2 linked regions of the Arabidopsis thaliana genome follow. The protein of the gene in region 2 interacts with the protein of the main gene of each other region in a pairwise test. Each region holds a gene or a part of one and is shown on either strand. Other genes may lie near its edges. The genes, in order: OBE1 and AT1G67430.

Region 1 (6,860 bases), on a different chromosome or scaffold from region 2:
GATCATACCTTTTAGACTTGTCTCTGTCCCTACCTGAGATATGCATCGGGGAAGAACCTGCGATTGGAGTGTAGAGAATCTCAACAGAACCATCTTCTCTTGGCCTAGAATCCATAGTCTTACCATGAAAACGAGTGTTCCCTTTAACTATCTCCTTAGTCAATCCAAGTAATCTCACTGCCCTTTCCGCCTCAGTTAAAGGCGCCTCACCCCGATCAGCTGGATGGTACATCAGAAGATTCTTCGCCGTATATTTCCATCCTTCTAAAGTACTCGGTGGCTGATCAGATGTACCATACCCATCTGTAATCCTATCTCTCTTCACATCCTCAATAGATTTACCATCCTCCTTTTCACCTTCAAGGAGAAAGCCATACTTCTCCTTCTTCTTCCTATTTACCTTCTCAAGAATCTTCGAAAAGCTCTCGTTATCCTCACTAGTATATCTCCTAAAGAACTCATCTAGGGACAAATTAAGATCTATATCTTCATCTCCATCACCAGCATCTACTTCAACACCATGAAATTCTCTACCAGATACTCCAGGAGTTCTAGGGGTTTTACCATCAAATTCATCTAAAGGAGTGAAATTTCTCAGAAAAGTAGATCCAGGAGTTTGAGTTTTACCCTCGGTATCTCCAACATGATGATTCGCCTTCTTTCCACGCCTCTCGATAATCTTCAACTGGGCATCTCGGATTTGAATCGGGTCACGGGTTTTCACCGCTTGGATCCAATCGAGCCGATCCCTAAGCTTAGTTATATCTGGAAAGTAATCACGCTCGATGATCTTCTCGATTGCTTCAACATAAGCGTCCTCATCGAGAACTCTCATCCGTTTTCTAGGGTTTCGAGGAATGATCTCCGAGGAAGAACTGCGAGGCGTTGATCGGAGGGTATCATCGGAATAAGAAGACGGCGATGGAGAAGAAATCTGACGAGGAGAATGACCAGGTGAAAGAAACATCTTGAATCAGAAGAACGCGAATTCAAAAAGCACGAATGGAATTTGGAGCCGATGAATTTTGTCGAGAATTCGGACACTAGGGTTTGTTTTTGGGTAGACAGGAAAACAAAACGATGGTCGATGATTGCATCGGCGATGATATAATATTCCTTATCAATCCGATTATACGCGTTTTGTTTCCAGAATATTACATTATTTCCCCAAACGTTTTGATTCCTTTTGCTTTATACCCCGTAAGAAATCAAATCGTTATTATAACCCAAACATGAGGACGTTATTGCAAATAACTACTCTGTAATATCCATTTGGGCAAAATATTTTCTTTTTAAAGTCGGTGGCGATGTTCTTTGGCTCTCATGTTGGCTCAAATATAAACTATTTAAGGTAACATGGATCTCCCTCCATTAGCGAAATCCACAATTCTCTAAATCCGAGTGAATAAGTATCGAGATTTTGGCAACACTCTGTGTCAAAGCTTGCATAACATTATGGCCCAACATAGACGATCATGTGCAAAATTTGAATACAAAGACCACAATACTTCACACACAAATCCAACCTTAATTGATTCGGATTTTTTTTTTAATACAAACAAAGAGAGACAATACAAACATCTAAGGATTGGATCTGAAAGGATTTCGCTGGTTTGATCTTGGATCTACCCTTGGCGACGATGCATTGTATCCATGCAGCATTTCTCTGATCTTTGAGTACATCACTGCTTGTGACGCTTCACCACCATTCCCACCACTTTCCTGCTCTTTTATCTTTTCAAACAGATACTCTTTCTCTGCCTCCGCCTCGCTCAGCCTCAGTTTCAAATAGTTACTTGCGTATTCCTCTTCTGTTTTCTCCTTTTTCGCTTTCACAATCCTTTCCAATCTCTCTGCTTCCACTTTTGCCTCGTTTGCTTTTAACTGAAACATCTCTGCCTCTGCTTGCTTCAGCCTCACTATCCTCTCCACCTCTTCTATCTGTTGTTTCTTCTTCTGCCTCTCCATCTGCAGTTCCGCCACTTGCTTTGCTTTCTCTTCTACCTCTCTCTCGCATTCCTCAAGCCCCATTCGCGCTTTCTTGTACATCCTCGTCTTTTCCTCACCCACTATCTCCATTTTCCTCAGTGTTTCCTTTACAACTTCAGCAATTCGGTTGCATGCATCTTGAGGTGCTATCGTACCCCCACCTTCTCCGCTTTCAAGGCTCTTTGGAGAGTCCAATTCAATTTCTTCATACACAAAACATGGTTAGGTCTATAAAGAGTAAACCCTTATCATATAACAATAGCGAGTGGGCTTACCTTGGAAAAACATGAGTATCAACTTGGCCGCTGTTGCTTCAGCCAGTCCACCTTTAATCTTCTCCATAAGCTCCTCACACTTCCAGAAGAGTTTCCGGCCTCTTGTATCTTCGCTTCCACGGAAAATCCTACTAACGAAGTCAAGTTCCTTCATTAAAGATTCCCTATCCCAGTTTGGTGCACAGTGCTGAAACACATCTTTCACCCACCCCAGCAATTCAGAAGTATGGTTGCACGCTCGACACTTGAACAGCATTTCTCCCATCCCAGATACGCTCTTGGGAGAAACTCCCATCGAAATCTCCCCATCCCTAATAGCACAATCCGTATGAGTCCAATGAGAACACACGTCGCAGCCAATCCAGCGGCATGTGTTGACTGCAAAGTCAAACTTGTTACATATCACACACATGCACAGGTTGCAGAAGCCTTTCCTATTAGCGCATATCTCACAGGGACAACCATCAGCCGGGAGTTCGTTTTGGCAAGCTATGTTTCTGCATCTCTTGTACACAAAGATCTCGATGAGTGATGACTGAGAGAGATTGATGTTTGGGTGCAAGAATGCTTGGATACCAGTGTTTATAACCACAAGAACTTCAAGCTGCACTCGGTGAGCCCTGACAAGTGTCTTTGAAGTTAAATCAGATCTCGTCTGGACAAACTTCTGCAGAAACATAAACTCATCTATAGGCTGCGCACCATTTCCTTCAAGGATAGCCTTAAGACCATTCTTTAACTCCTCGAGATATTCTTCTGGTAATCGATGCATTCTCTCAGCGACTATGTCAAGTCTCTCTCTAGCTATGTCCCGTAGCGATACCTTATCAGCAATGGAAACATGGCGGATCACATGTTGATCATGAGAGTCAGGCCCTGTCTTTCCGCTATCTGTCTTCCTTCCCATAATAGATTTTGAGGTTGGCCAAGTTTCTTGAGAGCTAGCACTTTCAGCTGGTGATTCACGCACAATGCCAGAATTAGACCGTGACAAGTGGGGATCTGAAGATACAAGCGAAAGAGATGTTTGTAGTTGCTGACGTGGAGGTAGCATCTGGTGAGGAAGATTGGACCCAGATGATGTGCCCATCAATTTAGTGCTGCAGACACCAAGATAATGTCAATGTCAGATTCACCCCAAGGAACACATAAATCCCTAAAATACTTTACGACCAAATCACATACTAATTCAGGAAAGCCCAAAACATTTTGCAAAATCCCTAGAAATCCACCGACAGATAAAAACTACATCTCCTATGTTCAAATTGAGCTGAGATGATTAATCACTAGTGGAAGCTCAAAAAATACAAACACATGACAGAGTAAACACAAAACAAGCGCTAGAAAAAAACAAGTTGCTCGAATCTGTTTGCCCCGTAGATTATACGCTATAAAAGTCAAACACGAATCTTCATAAAATCAGAAAATCTTGCAAGTACCAAAATACATAGTCATAAACTGAATCAACCCTCAAAACAACGCATCCAACTCGATCACGAGAGTTATTGACTCTTTTTGTCACCGAATTTTCAGGACCAGCCTCGAACTCAACAACCAAAACAGATACGTTTTGCTGTATTCGCCTCAGACATAAAGAAAGCACCAAACAGACGAGAAAGGGAAAAAGACCGCCGGAAAATTAAGGACTCACCGGAGAGACGACGGGAGAGGACGAACGAGGAACCGTGACTCCGTGAGAAACCCAAAGGAAAGATAAATTAAACACTTTTTTGCCTGTTAAGACAGAACTATAAAAAAGACATACAGCTGCCAGTTCATTAATCTCTAACGGTTAACCTGACCAGCCGGTAACCTTCGACTTTTGTTGACTTTTTTAAACGCGTTCAACGTTTGAGTCGAATCTGTCCAAACAAAGTTTTAAACCAACCCAATTCGTACGATAACAACATCCCTCTATTTAATTAAAAATTACCATATGTCCCAAAATTTTAGTTTTGTTAGATAAAACTCGAAAAATCTTTCCAAAAACACCCCAACTGAATTTTTCTTAACGGTTATTAAAATTATACCGAGGAGGATCAACACAAACTGGAACAAAAACAAGCTCAATCAATTATTAATCTCTCCAACATAAATAGAGATTATCATTCGCTCATTGCCTATTGTTCTGAGTTTTGGGGTTCTACTTTTACTGCTACTACTAATAAAAGAAGAAGAATATGATGAGAATCGTAGCAGGGACATAAAACATTAGGCTTGTGTTCATTTCTTCCCATCCACTTCGACTGGTTCAACCACTTCAGCTTCAAACGTCTCTGCATCGTGAGAATGTGCCATCTGCTGTTGCTGCGGCTGCACCTCAGGGCTTGACCATTTCCCGGAAAGAGCTACATCCATCATCTCATATATCTTCCCACCCAGCTCTGCTGGATTATCGGGCTGTAGTTTTGAGAAACAACAATTAAGTTTTACCAGTATTTACTTTATTTCAATTCTAGAGACAACAAAAAGTTAAGAATGTTAATGTAGAATAGGACTCACCGTGAACCCACTAGAAACTAGTGCTGCGTCATACATAAGATCTATGGCTCTCATTGCATCTTCGTCATTTGGGTTACTATTGTAAGCAGCCTGCAGGGTGCAAGAAAAAAACAAGCCAAGCTCAAAAAGCGGCTCCTAGATTTAATTATAATAGCCAGGTACAAGTTATGATGAATGGTGACTTCACATTTATGTTCTTGATAATTGAGTGGTCGGGATTGATCTCAAACACTCTTCTCCCTTTCATGTAGTCGAGGCTTATTGTGTCACCAGTTGATTGTGCCTTCATTAGCCTGTCCAGATAACATATTCTGTGTTAGTTCACCAGGGGCAAAAAAGGAGAACGGAAATCCTTGCTTAAGAAAAAGGTCAGATCTTACCTCTCCATATTGGCTGACCAACCAAATTTACCAGATACAAGAACACAGGGGGAAGAACTAAGACGGTTGGAAATTTGAACACTGGCAACCTTGTCACCCAATCGTTTCTTTATCCAGTCACAAGTCTGTCCAAACTCTTTTTTCACTGCTGCCTCTTTCTCCTCGTTCTTGTCTCCTGTCAATACAAAGATCAAAGCCAGAATTTGTTATTATACATAAGTGATTACCTGACATGCTAAATCAAGGAATTACATCAGGCACTTGCCTAGATCCAAGTCTTCCTTGCTGATATCTACAAAATCCTTCTCCTTATAAGCTTTTAAACTCTGTACGGCAACTTCATCAATAGGCTCTACCAAATATAGTACCTACGTTCACAATACAAAGAAATACATGTCAATCACCTCTGAGTTAATAGGAATATTTGCAAGGAAGAACAAAACGAGGCCCCATTCAGAAGAACAACACATACTTCAAGTCCTTTCTCCAGCATCTTTTCGAGGAAAGGTGCATTCTTAGCACTTGTAATGCTGTCAGAAGCAATGAAGTATATGGCTTTCTGTTCAGGTTTCATGTTCTCAACATACTCATCCAAGCTGATCATGTCATTCTCACTCTGGGAGGAGAAAAATCGAAGCAGTGGAGCTATACGCTTGTGGTTTTCACGGTCTTCGATGCACCCTAATTTCAAGTGTTTGCCAAAATTATCCCAAAACTTCTCATAGTCCTGTATAGGTTAACAATGCCATTCTCATTCGTCAGGAAAATCATCACCAGAACGTAGCAGTGATTTCTAAAGGGAATTAAAAAAGGTTAAACTGTAAGCTTAGGGGAACAAGAGTTATGAAACATACTTCTCTGTTTTCACTCAAGGATATACCCAAAATCATATCAAAAGCCTTCCTCACTAGACGTTTCTTCATGATCCGCACCTTGGAGACACAATACAAAATCGTAAGCTTAACATAGCATTGCACTTAAAACAAAACATATATCATAAAGGCTTTGCATACGAATTGGATATGAGCGCTTACTATGCGACTTTCTTGAAGAATCTCACGTGATACATTAAGTGGGAGATCATGCGAGTCCACAACACCTTTAACAAAGCTCAAGTACCGAGGAAACTGGCCACAAACACCACAAAAATGATATCAATATAATTAGAAAGACAGAGGTTTCTTGAAAGAAATTTGAACCACACCAAAAGAAACTTTTCTCACCAGCTCCCCATCAAAGTCATCTGAAATGAAAACTCGTTTAACATAGAGCCTTATGTTCTTTGTCTTTTGATTGACTATGTCATCCTTCCCCGATGGTGAAACAGGTGGCACATATAGGATAGACCTAAACTCGACTTCGCCCTGAGCATTGCCAACAAGAGAATCAAAGAGCATTATATTTCAGTGGATCGTCTAACAAAGACGATCTAATTCGGCTGTTTAATGGAAATATCCAATTCAATAAATGTGTTCCTTTGAAAATACCTCTGTCGTGAAATGGGATGAAGCCAATGGGTCCAAATACTCATTGAAAGCTTTTCTGTAAAACTCATTGTATTCTGCTGTTGTCACCTCCTTAGGGTTACGCAGCTGCAATAAATAAAATACACTGTTAAATTGATTCAGAGTGCACTCAAGATACATTGACAAGTCCTTACCCAAATCGGTTGTGTCTCATTTGTAAGCTCCCAATCCCAGTATCTCTCAACAAC
Region 2 (5,903 bases):
TCTTCTTCATAATTCACTGCTCTCTTCCTCACTACACAGTTTTCTATTCTTCTAGAATTTGCTTATGCAGACATTTTCAATTTCACTCCTCCGTCACTCTTCTCCGTTCCTCCGTCACACCGCGATTTTTCACGGCGGAGTTGGAGTTAGATTCAAATTCCTTCGCAGCTTTTCTCCTCTCTCAGCAAGACGAGATAATCCCGATGTCTCCAGAAAACCCCAACCGAGCAAAAATATGCTCAGAGCGAAGCACATCGGTAAAAATTACTCCTCCTCCTTGTCACCAGTTCTCTCGCCGGAGCATAAACCTTCGCTCTTAGAGTCTCAAGCTATTGGTACTGTCGCAACAGCTCAAGCGAACTTTATGCGCGTCATTGTTCAAGATGTAGCTAATTCTGTGACGAGTGATGATGATAATGATTCTTCAAAGACTGGTGTTGAATTGCTTTGTGTGGTGAGAGCTGTGTTGAAGAAAATACGAAGGAGAGTTTTAGTTGGAGATAAGGTTCTTGTTGGATCTATTGATTGGGTTGATAGAAGAGGAATGATTGAGAATGTGTTTCATCGACGTTCGGAGATTTTGGATCCACCTGTTGCGAACGTTGATCATTTGCTTGTTCTTTTCTCTTTGGATCAACCGAAACTTGAGCCGTTTACTCTTACTAGGTTCTTGGTGGAAGCTGAATCTACTCGTATTCCATTAACACTTGCTTTGAATAAAACTGAACTCATTAGTGAAGAGGTAAGGAGGATGAAGAAATTGTATTTTAGATCACTTTGTTGGTTTAGGGATTGATTAGAATCATAAACTTGTTTACAGGAATTGGAAACTTGGAAGATAAGGTTGCGTGGATGGAACTATGAACCATTGTTTTGTAGTGTGGGAACTAAAGATGGACTTGATGATATTGCGTTTGTTCTGAGAGATCAGACTTCTGTGATTGTTGGACCTAGTGGTGTTGGAAAGTCGAGTTTAATCAACGTATTGAGGAGTAATCATGGTGGTGGTGTGGTGGAAGATGAGAATTGGTTTGAGCCTGTAAGGTTCTTTTGTGTTATTTCATTTTACAGCTTAAGTTTTGTTTGCCAGATTCTTATGAGTTGAGCTTTTGTGATATTCAGATGTTAGGTAATAAGTGGTTTGATGATCAGCGAGTAGGGGAAGTTTCGAGTAGAAGTGGTAGAGGTAAACATACAACACGAAATGTATCGCTACTGCCGGTTTCTGAAGGTGGTTACCTCGCTGATACTCCTGGCTTTAACCAGCCTAGTTTGCTGAAAGTAACGAAGCATTCACTAGCTCACTGTTTTCCTGAGGTTTGTTCTTTGTACCCTTTTGCTTGTGCCAATCTCCCTTATTGGCTGACTGTGACGATGTGTTACTTTTTAATTGTTTCTTTTAGATACGGAACATGATTGAGAGCGAAAAATGTGGATTCAGAGACTGCTTGCATATTGGGGAACCAGGATGTGTTGTGAAAGGTGACTGGGAAAGGTATCCTTACTACTTACAATTGCTTGATGAGATCAGAATCAGGGAAGAATTTCAGCTTAGGACTTTTGGAACCAAAAGGGAAGATGATGTTAGGTATTGTTGGGATTTCTCCTGAAAGAACAGCTTTATTTTTAGATTGAGATTGGTCGCAGTCACTAATGTTGTTTACTTTGGAATGATACTTGACACAGGTACAAGGTGGGAGACATGGGTGTGAAACATGCTGAACCACGGTTAATGCCTAAGAAGCATAGGAGAGAGTCAAGGAAGAAAACGAAACAGACAATGATCAGTGAGCTGGATGAGTTCGAAGATGAAGACAGTGATTTGTACATAGAGAACGACCCAATCGTCCAAGCCATTGAGAATGAGAATAAAAGACAATGAGAGAACTCAAGTTTCCACTATAACTAAGTCACATGATGTAAAAGATTGTACAGATCTTTTTAAGTTCTCAGCTCTTTTGTTTGTCTGAATTATTGACTAATCGAACTATCGAACTAACCAAAACTTGCAGAACCATGATCACTGATTTCATAAGTCATAGAACGAAAATTTCCAAGATAAATCTATCCATTGTCTTACAAAACGATTCGAGCTAAAGAAAAAAGAGAACAAAATCTCGTTCAAGAACACAAGGGACATGAAAATAAAGAAAGAAAGCTTAAGCTGCTGATTTCTTGGACTTGGCAGCCAACTGAGTCTCCGGCTACAATTATCAAAAACAAATACGAAATGAGAACACTGTTGTTATTAACACTAGTCCTGAATTTTTCCAATGAGATGAAATATATATTACCTCTTTTTTGACAGGCTCTTCCTTCTCTGACAAAATCAACTCAATGTGGCATGGGTTGGACATGTAAGCTGCAACCAAGAAAGACAAACTGAGTCATACAATGGATTACAAAAAGCTATCAATGTAAGTGATTTACAAAATCTCAAACTTACGGTTGATTCTTCCGTGAGCACGGTAAGTCCTTCTCCTTTGCTTTGCGGCCTGGTTCACTTGGATGTGTGATATGAAGAGGGCATCAACATCCAAACCTTTCACCTGAACATTCAAAGTCAAAATATGCTTATTAGCAAAAGGGTACAGAGAGAAACAAGAAAAAGTTTCCTTAATTAAATGAATGCTCGTCTCACCTCAGCATTGCTCTCAGCGTTCTTGAGCAAATCAAGAACAAACTGAGCAGACTTGGCTGGCCAACGTCCTTGACCATTAGAGTGCCTGTTCTTAGCTTGAGCAGTTCTCCCAACACCTCTGCAGAAACGTGTGAAGGGAATTGCTTGCTTGTGAGCTATCACATCCTCAAGGTACCTCTTCGCCTTGATCAATGGTAGCTTCCTGATTGCGTGCGCTGTTTCCCTAGTATTCTGTTTCACACAATCCGAAGAAAACAAAACACAATAAGAACCAACCAACAAATTCAAAAACACAGTATTAATTATGTGGAATCACTAACCAAAACAACAAGTCACTAAAATTCTACATAGGTTCACATAAGAACAATAACAAAGCAATACTAAGCGATTAACCAAAAGCCCTAAAAATAAACAAGCCTCAAAAAGTGAAATGATAAATCAATGTACCATCATGTACTGAATCTTATAGTTATGAGATATATAAACATAGATTCACCCAATCACGATGACCAATTCAATTTCCCTGAAGTATACGTGAGATCTGTCAAATTGCAACAGAACTCTGCTTTTTCTCAATCAGGTTTAACCTAAAACTACAATCTCCTAATCATAAATCTAACTACATCGAATAATCAAAATGACAATTGACAGAGCTATACATACCTTGAAGTGAACCCTAAGATCGGATCCTCTAGCCTTGCAAGCTGCAAAATCAAAACCAAAGGATTACCACAAAGATCAAAACAACGAAATGGTACTAAGAAGTTGATACAAGGAGCTTTACTTACACTTGGTCTGATTGTCGGGTTCTTGCGAGTACTTCACCTGCGAAATCAGCAAAGACAGGGTAAAGAAAATTAGGGAAGAAGATTTCTAGGTCAAATCAGCGAGAAGAGAGATGGAGTTTGAGAAGCTTAAGCAATTAAGCAATTACCATGGCGGCTAATAGAAGAATCGGCTGCAGAAGAGATGTGAGATTTGTGAAGACGAGAGTTTTTATATAAGAGTGAAGCAATAAACCCTGCGAAACCTAGGTTTAAATGGGCCTTGTCCATTTTTAATGGGCTTTCTAATAATGCCCATCAAGACTATGAATTGGTAATTAACAATTACTTATTACAAAGGTTGATATCCTTACTCATTTTTGTTTCATCAGGCCAGATGTATTTATTTTATGTAAGTAAAATCTCTCTTCATTACTTTTTTTTATAAGAAATGCAATTGATTAATTCGTTCTTATAACCACAATTTTTTTGAAAATAAGTTAATTAATCGGAAAATGAGCTAGAGATCCAATTTTCACTATTTTGTTTTGTATTAAACTAACCAACTTGCATTCTTTTAGTTGAAATTAGTTGTTACTATGTAATATGGCCTAAAAACTGTCCAATCCATCATTAAATCTCTAAAATAAACATGGTGAGTAGTTTTCGGGTCTAAGAATAGAGTTATGCTCAACTCTCATCAGGTTCAATAGAATTCTACTTACTTATCAAAAAAAAGTGTACGTATTTTGTATATATTGGTGGAGTATGTTGTTTTAGTTGTAGATCATTTGCTTAAAACTTCATTTTTTGTTTTATATATATAAATATGAGACAACAATCACGAATGGTTACTATGTCATTTGACTTAATTGTTATACGTAATTTCTTACTTACTCAGTTATATCATATGTCATGTCATGTCATTTGACTTACTTGTACGTAAAATATTATATGTAATGAAAATATAGAAGATTAACAAGTTTGCTACATGAGTAATGATTGCTTCATATGTAGAAGCCAATAAGATCTTGAATACCTTGGGAGGAAGCTCTATCGATTTCATGGGGGAGAAACTAGCTAAGTATACTATCGATATCATTGAAACCTGAAGAGTTGATTCAACATCTACTGATATCGCTGATAAGCGTATCATCACACATATTAACGAGTGGATTGACGATTATTTGATGGTGCACCACGAGGGAGGAGTTTTGGTGGTATGCATCGGAAACGTTGACCTTCGTGGCTCAACTTAGAAATGATAGGACACATTATTTGATGGCGCACCACGATAAAATAGCTGTCGTTTATAGAGTCTTACTCTTGTCACATATTTGAGTCCAAAAGATAACGAAAAAAATAAAAACAATATTTTGAAAAATTATTTATATGAAACAATATTATTTATTTTGTTGCAATTAGACTTATTCATTACCTCGTGGCATGTACGTGGACTTTGTAATTGTAACAGACACTTCTATTGGTTTTTCATGTGTTTGTTATTTATGTGGTTTTTCATGTGTTTGTTATTTAGGTCAGTACGGTTGTTTAGCTTACTCTTTTAAATTTTTTCATTTGCAAATTGCAATTGTAAGGACCACTTGTATTTAGGTCCGTTATTTAGCTTATTCTCTTAAAAATGCAGAGAAACTATCAATTTGTGGTATTACTCTCGGTAGACAATAATGCTAATGAAACTTCTCAACAAAACAAAAAACAAGACTATATCTTTTGATCATGAAGTTAAATTAAGGATAAAGTTAAATTAAGGATATAAGACTATAGTTGCACCAATCAAAGTATAAGATTATAAATTATCAAAGAACCAAGTAAATGTACACAATTACTATATCAACAAAGAAAATGTACTTAAGACTTGCTCATGTTAGTATGATTTAGGTATAAATAGAGTATGCGGTTCCGATGTCAAAAAAAAAAAAACTTTCCCATGTTAAGAACGGATTTATTTATTCTCTAATGTTTTAGAAATATCAAAAGGAGAATATGAAATAGTCTACGATCAGAACAAGTAAGTAGAAAGAAAACTAGTGTAGGCAATGACATCGGACCATTTTGGGAAAAGACCCTTCAAATGTATAGTTTCTTCATCAAGACGTTGATCAAGAACAGCTACATCTACTCTCACTTCTTCTTCACTACTTGCCTCTAACCAGAAGTTCCACTTCTCATCGCTGTTGCCACTCAGTCTCAATATGTACGAGGGAGGACCACCCGGTGGGAGTTCAGGTGCTGCAACAACGATTAGTCATTTTGGTTTTACGGTTTTTAGTAAATGCTTTAAGAGAACGAAAAAGAGGTTCTGTGTGTGTCACCTGGAGGTTTGCCATCGGCAAAGGACCACCCTGATAACGGTCCGGTTATGTTCAAAACCGTGACCCAAATCTCCTCCAACGACCTGCAAATGGAATAGTTAATAACCAACAAGACCAATAGAAGTTCTTTATGGAGTCCAACTAACCCCAGAGAGAGCTCCA

The links.
Region 1: the proteins of AT1G67430 (region 2) and OBE1 interact in a two-hybrid assay, tested with the Arabidopsis thaliana proteins (one large-scale study listed by BioGRID).

What each region holds. Positions count from the first base shown.
Region 1 is NC_003074.8:2,481,598-2,488,457, reverse strand, and holds OBE1 (potyvirus VPg interacting protein (DUF1423)), read right to left. Parts: upstream 4,005-6,860; 5' UTR 3,473-4,004; coding exon 3,450-3,472; intron 3,365-3,449; coding exon 2,265-3,364; intron 2,193-2,264; coding exon 1,582-2,192; 3' UTR 1,332-1,581; downstream 1-1,331. Other genes in the region: AT3G07790 (DGCR14-like protein), read right to left, coding at 1-967; Hsp89.1 (HEAT SHOCK PROTEIN 89.1), read right to left, coding at 4,488-4,664, 4,767-4,856, 4,954-5,059, 5,147-5,321, 5,412-5,514, 5,619-5,873, 6,001-6,078, 6,181-6,273 and 3 more. UniProt on the Arabidopsis thaliana protein: Probable transcription factor that acts together with OBE2 for the maintenance and/or establishment of both the shoot and root meristems, probably by controlling the expression of the meristem genes such as WUS, PLT1 and PLT2 and of genes required for auxin responses.
Region 2 is NC_003070.9:25,259,884-25,265,786, reverse strand, and holds AT1G67430 (Ribosomal protein L22p/L17e family protein), read right to left. Parts: upstream 3,654-5,903; 5' UTR 3,579-3,653; coding exon 3,576-3,578; intron 3,467-3,575; coding exon 3,430-3,466; intron 3,346-3,429; coding exon 3,305-3,345; intron 3,214-3,304; exon of another isoform or gene 3,081-3,213; intron 2,873-3,080; coding exon 2,642-2,872; intron 2,550-2,641; coding exon 2,447-2,549; intron 2,363-2,446; coding exon 2,295-2,362; intron 2,205-2,294; coding exon 2,160-2,204; 3' UTR 1,930-2,159; downstream 1-1,929. Other genes in the region: emb1688 (Minichromosome maintenance (MCM2/3/5) family protein), read left to right, coding at 65-742, 821-1,039, 1,123-1,317, 1,404-1,588, 1,687-1,882; AT1G67420 (Zn-dependent exopeptidases superfamily protein), read right to left, coding at 5,429-5,658, 5,742-5,903.